Linked DNA regions of Drosophila melanogaster. The protein of the gene in region 3 interacts with the protein of the main gene of each other region in a pairwise test. Each region holds a gene or a part of one and is shown on either strand. Other genes may lie near its edges. The genes, in order: Nopp140, CG3663 and CG12725.

Evidence for each region.
Region 1: the proteins of CG12725 (region 3) and Nopp140 interact in a two-hybrid assay, tested with the Drosophila melanogaster proteins (one large-scale study listed by BioGRID).
Region 2: the proteins of CG12725 (region 3) and CG3663 interact in a two-hybrid assay, tested with the Drosophila melanogaster proteins (one large-scale study listed by BioGRID).

What each region holds. Positions count from the first base shown.
Region 1 is NT_037436.4:21,831,118-21,837,227, forward strand, and holds Nopp140 (Nopp140), read left to right. Parts: upstream 1-1,656; 5' UTR 1,657-1,761; coding exon 1,762-1,860; intron 1,861-2,062; coding exon 2,063-3,712; intron 3,713-3,953; coding exon 3,954-4,112; intron 4,113-4,349; coding exon 4,350-4,763; 3' UTR 4,764-4,865; coding exon of another isoform or gene 4,866-5,018; 3' UTR 5,019-5,568; downstream 5,569-6,110. Other genes in the region: CG7148 (uncharacterized protein), read right to left, coding at 1-369, 429-979.
Region 2 is NT_033778.4:24,659,581-24,662,991, forward strand, and holds CG3663 (uncharacterized protein), read left to right. Parts: upstream 1-1,922; 5' UTR 1,923-2,014; coding exon 2,015-2,137; intron 2,138-2,207; coding exon 2,208-2,417; intron 2,418-2,474; coding exon 2,475-2,768; 3' UTR 2,769-2,829; downstream 2,830-3,411. Other genes in the region: Cpr60D (cuticular protein 60D), read right to left, coding at 3,383-3,411.
Region 3 is NC_004354.4:13,401,324-13,404,499, forward strand, and holds CG12725 (uncharacterized protein), read right to left. Parts: upstream 1,541-3,176; 5' UTR 1,392-1,540; coding exon 900-1,391; 3' UTR 516-899; downstream 1-515.

The DNA.
Region 1 (6,110 bases), on a different chromosome or scaffold from region 3:
CGATGCGTCCAGATGGGCAGCTTCTCATCCCAGCCCGGTTCAAGGGGCATATAGTACCCGTCCACGGCAAAGCCGACGATGTCCTTGGCCTTGAAAGCCATGATCTCGTAGAACTCGCTGACCTCGCGGATCTTGTGGTCATAGCTATCCGGACTGACCAGCGGGGGGATATGCCACTCGTTGTCCAGCAGCACCACCAGTTTCCTGAGGGAGGGCAGCTCCAGAACGGCGGGTAGAATGGGTTTCAAGGTGGCCAGATTGAGCTTAAGATCAGTGAGGTTCTTAAAGCTCTGCAGGCAGTTTCCCAGCTGAAGTTTACTGATCATATCGTACGTCCTAATGTCCAGGACCCGAAGATCGTGCAGCGTGCTGTGGCGCAAACGGAAAATGAGTTGCGAAATATTATGCAGCAGAAGGTTACTACTTACCGGCACACCTCGTCCAGGTACTTCTGCTGCAGCTCAAACGCCTTGTGCTGGTCCTCGTAGAGGTGCAGCTCCTGCAGGTGCTGGAAGTTGGATAGGTACCGCCCGTCGATGGGTGTGGTAAGGCGCAACTTTTTCAAGCCCGGCAGCAGGCGGGCCAGCTTGCGGATGCTTCGGTTCGTGGGATAGCAATCGACGCCGTCTGGGTCGTAGTAGAAGCTGGTCACCATGGGCAGCTCTGCAATGTGCATTTCGTCCAGATCTTTTAGAATGGAGCACAGACAGCTGCTGCCGCCCATTTCTCTGATGTACGGACGCATTTGGGTTAGGAAGTAGACCAGGTCTTCATGATTGGGCAACAGTACCCGCCACTTCTCCAGATCCAGTTGCTCGTAGGCATGGCTGGTGCGCCACTTGCTCAGACATATGTACTGCACTCGCCGGCAAGTCCTCGCGAAGGACACTTCCGACGGCAGGTCCTGCAAGCGATCGAAAATCTCGGCCAGACAGTCGTCGTCCAATTGCAGAATTAGGGATCTCGGCTCGGAAGCCATGGCCCGGGATGCGATCCTCGCGACACAATCTAGGTACAGAGTCTGTTAAAATAGCCGGAGCGAGAGATAGTTTCTGTATTCTGGATCGTTTCAAGCAGGTCAACTCAATTGAATAACAAACAAAAATACATTTTGGTGCTCCCCCAATGTGACCAGTCGTGGATGGTCTGAATACCTCACGCAAAAAACGTAGGTTCCTTACATTATGTTATATATACGCTAATTGTTTGAATACAATTTAATAATACAGTTTAGTAATTTATATATATATACATAGACATATAGACATATATATATATAACAAATTTAACAATACAAATTTATTGTTATATATGTCTATGTATATATATATATATATATATATATATATATATATACAAAACTAAAATTACAAATTTATTGTTATATATGTCTACATATATACATATACATATATATATATACATATATATATATACATAGACATATATAACAATAAATTTGTAATTTTAGTTTTGTCTAACGTAGCCTAGCGTTATTTCTAATTTCAAGATCTTTGTCGGTGTGGCATAAATAAATGATTACAATTGATTGGCATTTTCGAGTTATTCTTGGGAAGAATACCCGCTGCATTGACAGTGTTGAGAAACGGGGTGCAGGGGTGGCCACACCGTTGGCAGCCGCGTAGTGCTGCCATACCACTGATAAGTAGAAAACACGTGTGAGTGCGCATTCTTTTTTGTGGGACAAGCGGCTAGTAATTATTTGCGGACGGAAAATATTGACGAATAGTTGAATTAATCATGACAGACCTGCTAAAGATAGCCGATGCAATCGTCCTGGAGTACTTGCAGTCCAAGGACAAGAACCTAGCCAAGGTTTTCCAGCAGAAGACGAAGGCGGTAAGTTTCAGTGCAGAGCGGCAAGTGCAATATGTGCGGTTTGGATGCACCCGAAACATGTGGTATCTGCGTCCTCCTGATCTAGAATCCGAGGGCCTTGCTGTCCGCCGATGGCTCATCGAGCTGTCCACCTGCCACTTGCTGCAAGTGCCACGTGCTTCGTCCAGATAACCAAGAATTTCTGCCTTTTTCTAACTTGCAGGCCAGTGTCGCCAAAAGCAGCCCAAAGTTGAGTGAAATCCTTCAGTTCTACCAGACCAAAAGCCCCAAAAAGATCCCAGCAATCAAGGCGACAGCCGGAGACTCCAGCGAAGACAGCGACTCAGACTCTGAGTCTGATGCGGCGCCTAAGAAGCCAGCGACAGCTCCTGCACTAACAAACGGCAAGGCTGTCAAAAAGGCAGCTTCTTCAACCAGCGAGGACAGCGATTCAGAGGAGGAGAAGAAGCCAGCAGCAAAGGCCACGCCGGCCAAGGCTGTCGGCAAGAAGGCAAAATCCTCCAGCGAGGACAGTTCCTCGGAGGAAGAAGCACCCAAAAAAGCTGCTCCAGTGAAGGCACCTCCGGCCAAGGCGGCTCCCGCGAAGAAGGTTGAGTCCAGCAGCGAGGATAGCAGTTCCGAGGAAGAACCGGCAAAGCCCGCCGTCAAGGCCACAACGACTAAGGTTGCTCCCGCCAAGAAGGCCGACTCCAGCAGCGAAGAAAGCAGCTCCGATGAGGAGACTAAGCCAGCTGCCAAGCCTGTAGCCAAGGCTGCACCGGCAAAGAAAGCAGCATCCTCCAGCGAGGAAAGCGACTCCGATGACGAGCCAGCCGCCAAGAAGCCTGCCGTCCAGCCTGCCGCAAAGCCAGCTCCTAAGGCAGCCGCTTCTAGTTCCGAAGACAGCAGCTCAGAGGAGGAGGTCAAACCCGCTGCTAAATCTGCTGCCAAGTTGGCTCCTGCTAAGAAGGGGGCTTCCTCTAGTGATGATAGTTCCTCTGAAGACGAGGCACCCAAAAAGGCAGCAACTCTCGCAAAGCCCATTTCTAAGGCTGCTCCCACCAAAAAGGCCGACAGTTCCACTGAGGATAGTTCTTCGGAAGACGATGCTCCTAAGAAGGTAGCTCCAGCAAAGGCTACGCCAGCTAAGGCAATTCCTGCCAAGAAGGCAGCTTCCAGCGATGACAGCTCCTCGGAGGAAGAGGCGCCCAAGAAGGCAGCTCCAGCAAATGCCACGCCAGCTAGGGCACCTCCTGCCAAGAAGGCAGCTTCCAGCGATGACAGCTCCTCGGAAGAAGAGGCGCCCAAGAAGGCAGCTCCAGCAAAGGCCACGCCAGCTAAGGCAACTCCTGCCAAGAAGGCAGCTTCCAGCGATGACAGCTCCTCGGAAGAAGAGGCGCCCAAGAAGGCTGCCGCCCCAGCAAAGGCGACACCGGCCAAAAAGGCCAAGTCTTCAAGCGAAGACAGCGACTCCGATGAGGAGGAAGCTCCCAAGAAACCAGCCGCGAAGGCCGTTGCAAAGGCTGCTTCTTCGGAAGATAGCGATAGCTCAGAAGACGAAAAGCCAGCAAAGGCTGCTCCCAAGGCTCTGGCCAAGTCTGCAAAGGCTGCCTCCTCAGACAGTGACGATTCCAGCGATGAAGAAACGCCGGCAGTGAAGCCAGCTGTCAAGAAGACTGCTGCTCCTGCGAAGAAGGCTGACAGCAGCAGCGACGAGAGTGACTCTGGTGAAGAGTCCGGCGAGGTCAAGCCCAACTCAGCTACCAATGGCAATGAGAAGACCGCTCAGAAGCGCAAGTTTAGTGGTGGCGACCAGGACGAGGCCACTCCCAACAAGAAGTACAACAACTTCGTCAAATCGGGAGAGCAACAGGTAAGGCGGTGTAACTTATCTATGTACATCTAAAATTATCCGCAGTCCGCTTATGCATGTTTTCCTTCAGACATCAATTTTGAATGTCGGATAAAAATAATTCCTGAGTTAAAGGATTCCCTTAAAAGTAGCTTTTTAAAGCCCTATTGAAATTTGAGCCGAACTTTAAACAGCACATAATTTTGGCTCCTTGTCCGATTCCTGTGCAGACAGTTTTACATAACTTCATTGCCATTCGCAGAAGAATGACTTCACCTCCACACCTAACAACACCTTCAGCCGAAACCATAATATGAACAATAGCGGAGGGGGAAGTGGGCGACGGTCGCCCTTCCGAAGGGTACGCACCGAGGACGTGGTGGTGGACTCCCGAGTCCAGGACATGTCCTTCGAGGCGAAGGTAAGTGCCGCAATGGATTTGAGTCGCGTGGGTGTGTGTGTTTGCGACGGCTGTTGAGGATTAGGCGAGGGGGATCTTTCTACGAGGCTGAAAGGGGCAGACACACAAATTAGCAAGTTGCTCCTCGAAGAATCTCAAACCACTTGTGGCACTTTCCCAATACATTTTGAACTTATATATCAAATCAAATCGTTGCTAATTTGTGGTTTGCCCCTTTCGGCGTTTCTACCATTTCAGGAAAACGACTTTAAGAAGCACAACAACGGACGGGGCGGCCGAGGAGGCTCAGGCTTCTCCGGACGACCGGATCGCAGCACTTGGGAGACCAACAAGTTCAACGGCGAGGGCGGCGGTGATGGAGGCGGCTTCAAGAAGATTGGCGATCGCAAGAGCTTTGGAGGCTTTGATAACAACCAGCGCGGAGGACGTGGTGGTGGCGGTCGTGGAGGCGGCGGAGGCTTCGGTGGTCGTGGCGGTGGCGGCCGTGGCGGCGGTGGTGGCTTCGGAGGACGTGGTGGCGGCGGACGCGGAGGCGGCGGCTTTGGAGGACGCGGGGGCCGCGGTGGAGGCGGACGTGGAGGCGGATTCGGCAACAAATCCTTCGACTCGTCGGCGCCAAAGCAAAACAAGAAGATCACCTTCGACAATTAGAAATAGTTAGTTAGCGCCACCCACCCGCAAGCACACACACACACACTAGATGCAGTTATATTATCGGATTAACCCAATTTTATTATTTGCTCACCACGATAGAAAAACGCTGCCGGATCCTGGGGCGAGCGAGCCAACAAAGATCTGAAGCACACGCGCGGCAAGTCCTTCAAACACGAGAAGACCAAGAAGAAGCGCGGCAGCTACCGAGGTGGCCAAATTGACGTAGGAGTCAATTCAATAAAATTTGACTAGATTTATTACACCTATAAAATAATCCTTATTCTAACGGATATAACTAACTAGTTTAAGTAAAATATTTGCCTTACGCAATAGTTCCGCCAACATGTAAATTCTTTCCAAACTCTTGATTGACTTCGGGAAGTCCGTACTTCCGTTTTAATGTGAATTATTCGAATGCAAATTGGCGGTCGACAAACCCGTGACCAAGCAAATGGTTATTATGACTTTAGCGGATTAAACCCTTTTTTTTTCCTGATCGGACGGAATGAAACCCGAATGCGTTTCGTGGATTTTTTATAAGCCTTTAAGAGTTAAACCCCTATACATTTCTATTGTATATTATATATATTTATAAGGTTCATAAAGAGTAAGCCAAGGTATTTTTCAGACGCTTGGGTTAAATGAAGGGTTGAATTTTCCGCTAACTTGTGGTGATAGCCGGTTTATGAATGCTTATGACAACTTCAATATGTAAAAGATTAATTTGTTTTGTCACATTGGACAATGTATTTAATTGAACTAAGAAAACACGGAAAGAAATACATGTATTTTTTAATAACAGAATTGTTTGTAGTTTGATTACAAATTTGAATCAAATGAAACTAAACCTTTGCATGTTCTCTTCAGACCATCAAGTTTTGAAGTTTAAATTCTACGGGTTTCTAATCTCTAAGAACTCATCTTATTTCGGGTAAAGGAACTGCCCCAATCGATGCGGATAGCATTTTGGGTTAAACGAAATGTTGAAAACGGAACCCAAATAATTCTTTTTAATTCTTTGTTATATTTATTAATATGAATTTGATGCTTACGTTACATGTAACTAGGTTTCACTTTATCTCTTCATGATCTTTCACATTTAGTATTCAGAATGTATTGTCGTTTGATTTCACATACATAGGTGTGTACATTAAGTATTTTATAATTGAAAACGGTTCAACCAATTCAAGCAATTTCGATAACGAATAAAACATAAGGCGGGCCATTTAATTATAAATCATATATAATTAAATAATCACATTGCGTTTAAATCGTAAAATAATGATATTACATAGTATTCATTTAAAATATCCATGTCATGGTGTGTTTGTAGTTCGAAGGTAT
Region 2 (3,411 bases), on a different chromosome or scaffold from region 3:
ATTCATATTGTGGAGCCAGGCAGCAATATGCAAATGGAACTGAATATTCGAAATGAAATGCGTTTACACAAGTCGAGTTTGTCGAATCAGGAATTACTGCAAATAAAACTACAATTGATTCGCATTTACATTTCATTGGGCAAATTGCACAATTGCAAATGGCACTGCGGACGGAAAGCGTAGCTCAAAGACTTCAATACTCTAAATAAATGGCATAACATTTTCCCCGCTCCTACATTCGATCTCGCATGAGAGCACTTTCCCCAGGACTCCCAGATGGAGCTGGAGCTGGAGCTGGAGCAGGAGCTGGAGGATGGGGGATGGGGGATGGCCTCAGAAATCACATAAAAATACAGTCAGACGAACAAACTCTCTGGGCGCTTGTTGCTGCTCCCCGAGCATCTTGGATTTTTATTGCCATATATTCGAACTTATGGCTGTCAGTTCTGAAACAACAAAACGAACGCAATTCGACTTACTTACGCTCGCAAATTGTTTCTCAAATGAACAATTTTAAATTTTCACATTCAATAAATTGCTGCTGGGATGTGAGCAAATTGCTGGTGAGACATTTTGTTGTTTGCCCCCTTTTCCTCGGTAGATGAAAAAACTTTTTGTCAATTGTGTCGACTTATTATTAGCATTAGCACTTCTCGACTACGAATCCAGCACACTTCTCAACTGAAGGAGCTTTAGGCTTACATCTAGATTTGGTAGCGAAAGGGATATGAGATTGCTGCGAATTATCCTTTTCCACGCCATTGCAATACAATACAATAAGCATTATAGATGCAAATATACAAAGTATTCGAAAAGTACCAGGCTGTATCCAAATCGAAAACCGGAAGTTCCATCAACGTAACGCACCACTACTTCGCCAACAAGTGCGGATACTTCCCAAGTGAAAGTGTAGCAGAAGGAAAATGCAAATGACTCTCGATTCCGGTGAAGCGCAAATGGCGTCGAAATTGAAAATCAAGATGACTTTTCTTGAAGACTAGGAAAATATAGAGCAGAGATGGAGAGGCGACATGAATACAGAAACGCAGGCAAATAGCAAATACAGGTGCTATTCAGGTGCGTACGCATGTGTTTGTTTCAGACATTTCGATTACTTTTTGAGTGGTTCCACTAAGGTTTCTCTTCCTCGGCCCCCAAATTGCAGCATCCGCAAGCTTCGGGTCTCATGAAATATGTAGACCAGTAATATCTGGGCGGGGAGAGGGGTTGCGGAGCGGTAACAGGGGGGTGGCACACAAAAGGCGGCGCAAATTACTAAAATATGCATGCGACTCGCCATGGCCATTATCGTGGGCTTCCTTTGCCCGGAGAAGTATCGGGTCCATCGAGGCTACGTGCCGGGAATGTCCAAGAGATTGCCCGCCGGACACTCATTTCGGTCATGTCAATGGCATTGGGATTGGACTACCCCTCCTCCGCTTCGCATTTGTGGTTTTTGAAACTGCACGCATTTGATTGCGTTATTGAAATTGACTGGGCCGGTGGCTTCATTACTATAATGTCGGTGTGCCGGTGAGGAATTCAATTATAAATGCCTTCGGATTCCAGGATGCCTTGGCTTATGAATATAAATCTGCTGCCTGTGCGAAGGCGGAGTGAGGCGTTTAAGTAATTACACATTTACTTGATGATGTCGCCGTGGGCAAAGTTAAATTAAATGAAGATTTCGTTTTAATTAACTATGTCGGCTATGTGGTCTAGTCTGTGTAAGCATCTAGCAATATTTGGACCTCAGTTTTCCGTAGTTTATATCTGAAGTATTGCAACTTGTAAATAAAAGTTTGAAGTTTGAATATCAGTTACAGCCATGTACTAAATCTTCCATTAGGTAATCGATAAGTGCTTTGCTTATAATTCTTATCGGTATCGATCAAGCCAACCGTTTCGTTTTTTCGTACCCCTGGTAGTAAACAGCTGATACAATTTGCAGTTTATTTAACAAGTGAACATTGCGTATTTTCTAAGCCGAATCTAGTAAATAGTGTGAAACAAAATGGCCCTGCGACGCTGTCACTTGAACCCGAAGAAAACGCTTTTCCTGTTGTGCGACATTCAAGAAAAGTTCCGACCGGCCATGCCGCTCTTTGATAACATGATCAAAAACGTCGACAAACTAGTGGGTTGAACTTTGATTTTGATATTGATCCTTATCATTAACCTGTGAGATTAACTCAAAAAAATTTTAGACTCGGGCGGGAAAGGCTTTAGATGTTCCTCTGATTGTAACCGAACACTATCCGGAAAAACTAGGAAAAACAGTGGCCCAACTGGATGTAAGCCATGCGAAGCTGGTCTCCGGTAAAACCCTTTTCAGCATGTTTACTCCCGAAGTCAAGGCTGTGATCAAGGATATCTTCAATGACAAGCCAGAGGATGTCGTGCTATATGGCCTCGAGGTGGGTTAAGGAGAAAAACACTCTTATTCGAAAACATTAAATTCAAAATTTCAACAGTCCCACATTTGCGTGGAGCAGACCGCCATCGATCTCCTCGAGCAAAACATCAACGTATACATAGTGGCGGACTGCTGCTCCTCCAGGCTGAACCAGGATCGAGATCTAGCCCTGGATCGCCTGCGTCAAGCGGGCTGTGTGATCACCACTAGTGAGAGCGTTATCTTCGACTTGGTTCGAGATAAGAACAACCCCAAGTTCGATGTGGTCCGGAAATTGGTGAACCAGCCGTCGGTGGATATGGAACTCACGCGCAACGGGAGCGGAGTGCCAGCGGGCAGTGCCAAGCTGTGAGATAGCCCCTCCTGTCTAAATATCTGTTTGTTATAAAGCCAATTGCATTTATAAAACCATCATGCAGAATTGTGCTTTTCAAGGATACGCGGATGGGAAATGGGCCGAATGGGCCGAATGGGAGCAGCACCCATTTAAGTTGTCATTTCCGTAACATATTCCAATGGCCCCGCACAATGGGCGAGTCCATATTTGAATTTGCCGTTTAACAATAGCCCCAATGGCTTCCCTTCCGGTGAGTTCCCCCACTTTGCCCCATTTCCGCTGGGTTCCTTATTATGCGGATGACAATGCGTATTTTATGCCGCCTGTCGGCATTGATTATAAAGCTGAGTGCTGTTCGGTAACCTTTTATTTGTGCAGCAGTGTGGGATGAGGAAATCATCATCATTCCACATGACCCATTCAGGGGCTCTGTAAGCGCAATGTCTAATTGGACAGACCCTTGGATGAAGATGCTGAAGCGCTCTATGAACTGTAGCCCAACAGCTCTCAATATGAGTTCTACCAGGGGAACGTTTTATTGGAACAACAAGACATTACCTCACCACTCATTTTATGGAAAAAACCGCCGTTTTATAAGTTAAGATTAACATAACATCAAAGTCACTCGGTCACTCTTCAACCTTCGGATGGAAGCCGG
Region 3 (3,176 bases):
GTTTGCATTTTTCATTTAAACTAAAGAAAAACAATCAGTATCCTATATTTGGCTAAGTTACATTATGAAATTTAAAGTTCGACACCTCAACAGAATTGTAAGCGCCATCTATCGGTTGGTAGCGGACGGGGGAGGGCAACTCATTAAATAGTCAGCACAAAAGTATGCTAAAATATATCACAGAGTTGCAGGATATCGAATTATGTTTTACCAGTTGAATCACCACCCTCATGACCTCCCTAACCTGGTTTTGACCTAGAAAGTCTTAGTTTTAAAATTCATTAGAATAATCAAATAAATAATAATTACTATGTTATATCAACTATTATAATTCTCCCTATCATTTTTAGGATTAAAAATCTGTTAGTCTTAAGTAACCAAGACACATTGTAAAATAAAATAATTTAAGCAGATCAAATTAAGTTGCCGCATGGGTAACAGTGCGTTGATCAAATAATAAAAACATCATCATGAATAAAAAAAAAAAAAAAAAAAAAAAAAAAAAAAAACCAGTTGAATGTATTTAAACTATATTTATAAATATTTTTTGAGTTAAATGGCTTTCGTTCTACAGTTCAGCTTTTCAGGAATACCATGCAGTCCATAAATAATACATAAATTTTAAGAATTTTTATGGCATTGGCCATGAGACGTTAATTATTTGCTTGAGTGTAAACAAATTCGAAATTACTTTAAATTACTTTAAATGATTCGTAAATGGGTGGTATTCTCGAATTTTTTTTTTATAATGCAACTTAAATAAAGCATTTGTTCTAAGACCCGTTCTGCTTGTATTTTGAAAATCATTGGAAGGAACTTTGAAATGAAATGAGCGCAGTCATTTGAATTGAAGATTATTTAATACAGTCTACTGCTTATTGTCGTTCTTCGTAGCCTTCTTAATCAGATCCAGAGAAATTCAATGGAGCAATCGGCTCTAGCTCCGTCTGGTTGTTGACCAGTGAATCATCGGAGTTAAGGGACAACAAATCGAGTTCAGTCAAGTCCTGTGCCTCCAGTTCATCATCGTCACTTTCCAGATCTATGCGTTGCTGGTAACCGCCGATCAATGTAGACATATGTTCACCACTATCGTTTTTCCTGCCATAGCCGAACTTGCTAAACTTGCCAATCTTCTTTTCGCGCAATTGCTTGGGCGTCAGGACGACCGGCTTCCAGGTGAGATCCAGAATGGACTTATGGCCCACATCCTCCAGTATGCTCTGATTGGACAGCTCGCGACCCTTGTAGGACAGCCGACTGAAGCCCATGGGCACGGACATGGCTCGCCCGATCCGTGCCTTCAGGTTGGCCACCGTTCCGAAGCGATCCACATCGTAAACCGTCTTCTTGCCGTCGCTCGTCTGAACTAGAACTTGCATCTTACGCATCCTAATCCAGATATATATATATATATATATGTATCTGGCACGTCGAACTGCAACTTTTTTCGTTTTATACACAAGCTCTAAGTTTTGCTTCGTTCGGATAAAAGTTTGCTCTTGGAATCCCCTATCAAACTGTCGTCGTCATGCGAATGCTAGTGCGAGTTAAATTTAATGGCATCCTTGATTACCTTATTTGATTTCCTTTGTCGATTCTCCAATCGAATTTCATAAGGAGCAATTGGCAACCCTGAAGTTGATATATTCGGCTATTCCAATTTAATAAAAATTCATTTTCGCGCTTTAACCCACAACAGTTGCATATTCTTTGAATAGTCACTATTTTTGATTTCGACGTGAAAGTAAAATATTTTCAATCAATACAGGTAGAGAAAACTCATAAGAGCGGGGCTCCACTGCCCAGCGGCCACGTGGCCTCCAAGGACCAGAACGTGAATACATTGAGCAAATCGATCCTTGGCGAGGTACTAAGAAAAGCCTTTAATGTGAAGGCGTGACCCGTTCAGCGCGGTTTGCTCTCCTCCGCGATTCATATGAACCTCTGACGAATTCGATGCCATAATTTTCAGCTGCCAAGGTCGTCTTTCAAAAATAAATATAAAAAATTAAATGTTTCCAACTTTTTAAGTTAGTAAGTTAAATAATTAGCAATAGAAATTAACTATTTTTTATAGGATAATCATAGCGAAATTTCTGAAAATGCACGAAATGAACAGCTGATCAAAAGTGAAGTGTAGTGCACTCTATTGAGCCATTATCGTGGCAAGTATCTTTGTGCCAACTGTTGTGCCACCTTGTACGGACAGCGTACACTTGTGACAGCGAATGCATCTTAGAGATACAGATACATCCGAAGACAAGGCACTTTGGCTGGCACTTCGGCCCAGTTTTATCAGCTCAACAGTTGAACAAAAACAATTCGCTGACCGATATGGAAGGTATAGTTGTGTTTCTTGTTCTTGTTGGTATTTTCTGTTATTGGCCCCGTTTTTGGTAAACAAGATAACACCGCACATCGTAGATTCGTTTAGTGGGGTGCTGTGGGGCTTGGGATCGCTGGGATCCTCAAAACACTTATTAATACTAAGCATTTTCTGATTGGAAATCGTCGCCAGATAACGCACGAATATATCAAAGCTAGTCCAGTACAAAGGCGAAAGAGCCGAATACCGAGTCAAAAAGAAACCAGCAAAACAAAAACAAGAAAAGCCGCAGCAGCAACAAAATACTAAAAGCAAAACAAACAGCGATAAAATCGAACAGCTAGGCACACTTGAAATACCCTATCGAAAATTGGGAAAGCCCTAACACATGGATTTAAGCCAAGTGTTCGTTAAGCCCTGAGTAAATGCATCGAGTTTAATAGCGGCAAGGGAAGCTATATGGACTCTATATGACTTTATGGTTAAAATATAAGCTGCTTGTAACTATCGCATTTATGTAAGTTTTAGTATGAATTTTGGTATACGGCCAAGAAAATGAGTAATAAAACCTGGTACCAATTTTCACCACCATCCGATTGGTAATACCCGAGTTACGATAGGTAAGTTTTGCATATCCCGCTCTCTTTTCGCTGTGGGCCACACCCTCTTTTCAAAGGGGCATGCAGTCGCAATGTCTCGATCTCAGCGAAAGGGTAGCGCCAGTGTCAGCAGAGGCGGAGCAGAGGAGCAGCAGTGGGGGCACCATATACAATGTACATATGCACAAGAAGCCGGTCTTTTTTGTCTCTGTTTTTGTTTTTGTGTTCGCTTTGTTTTTTTCTCTTTT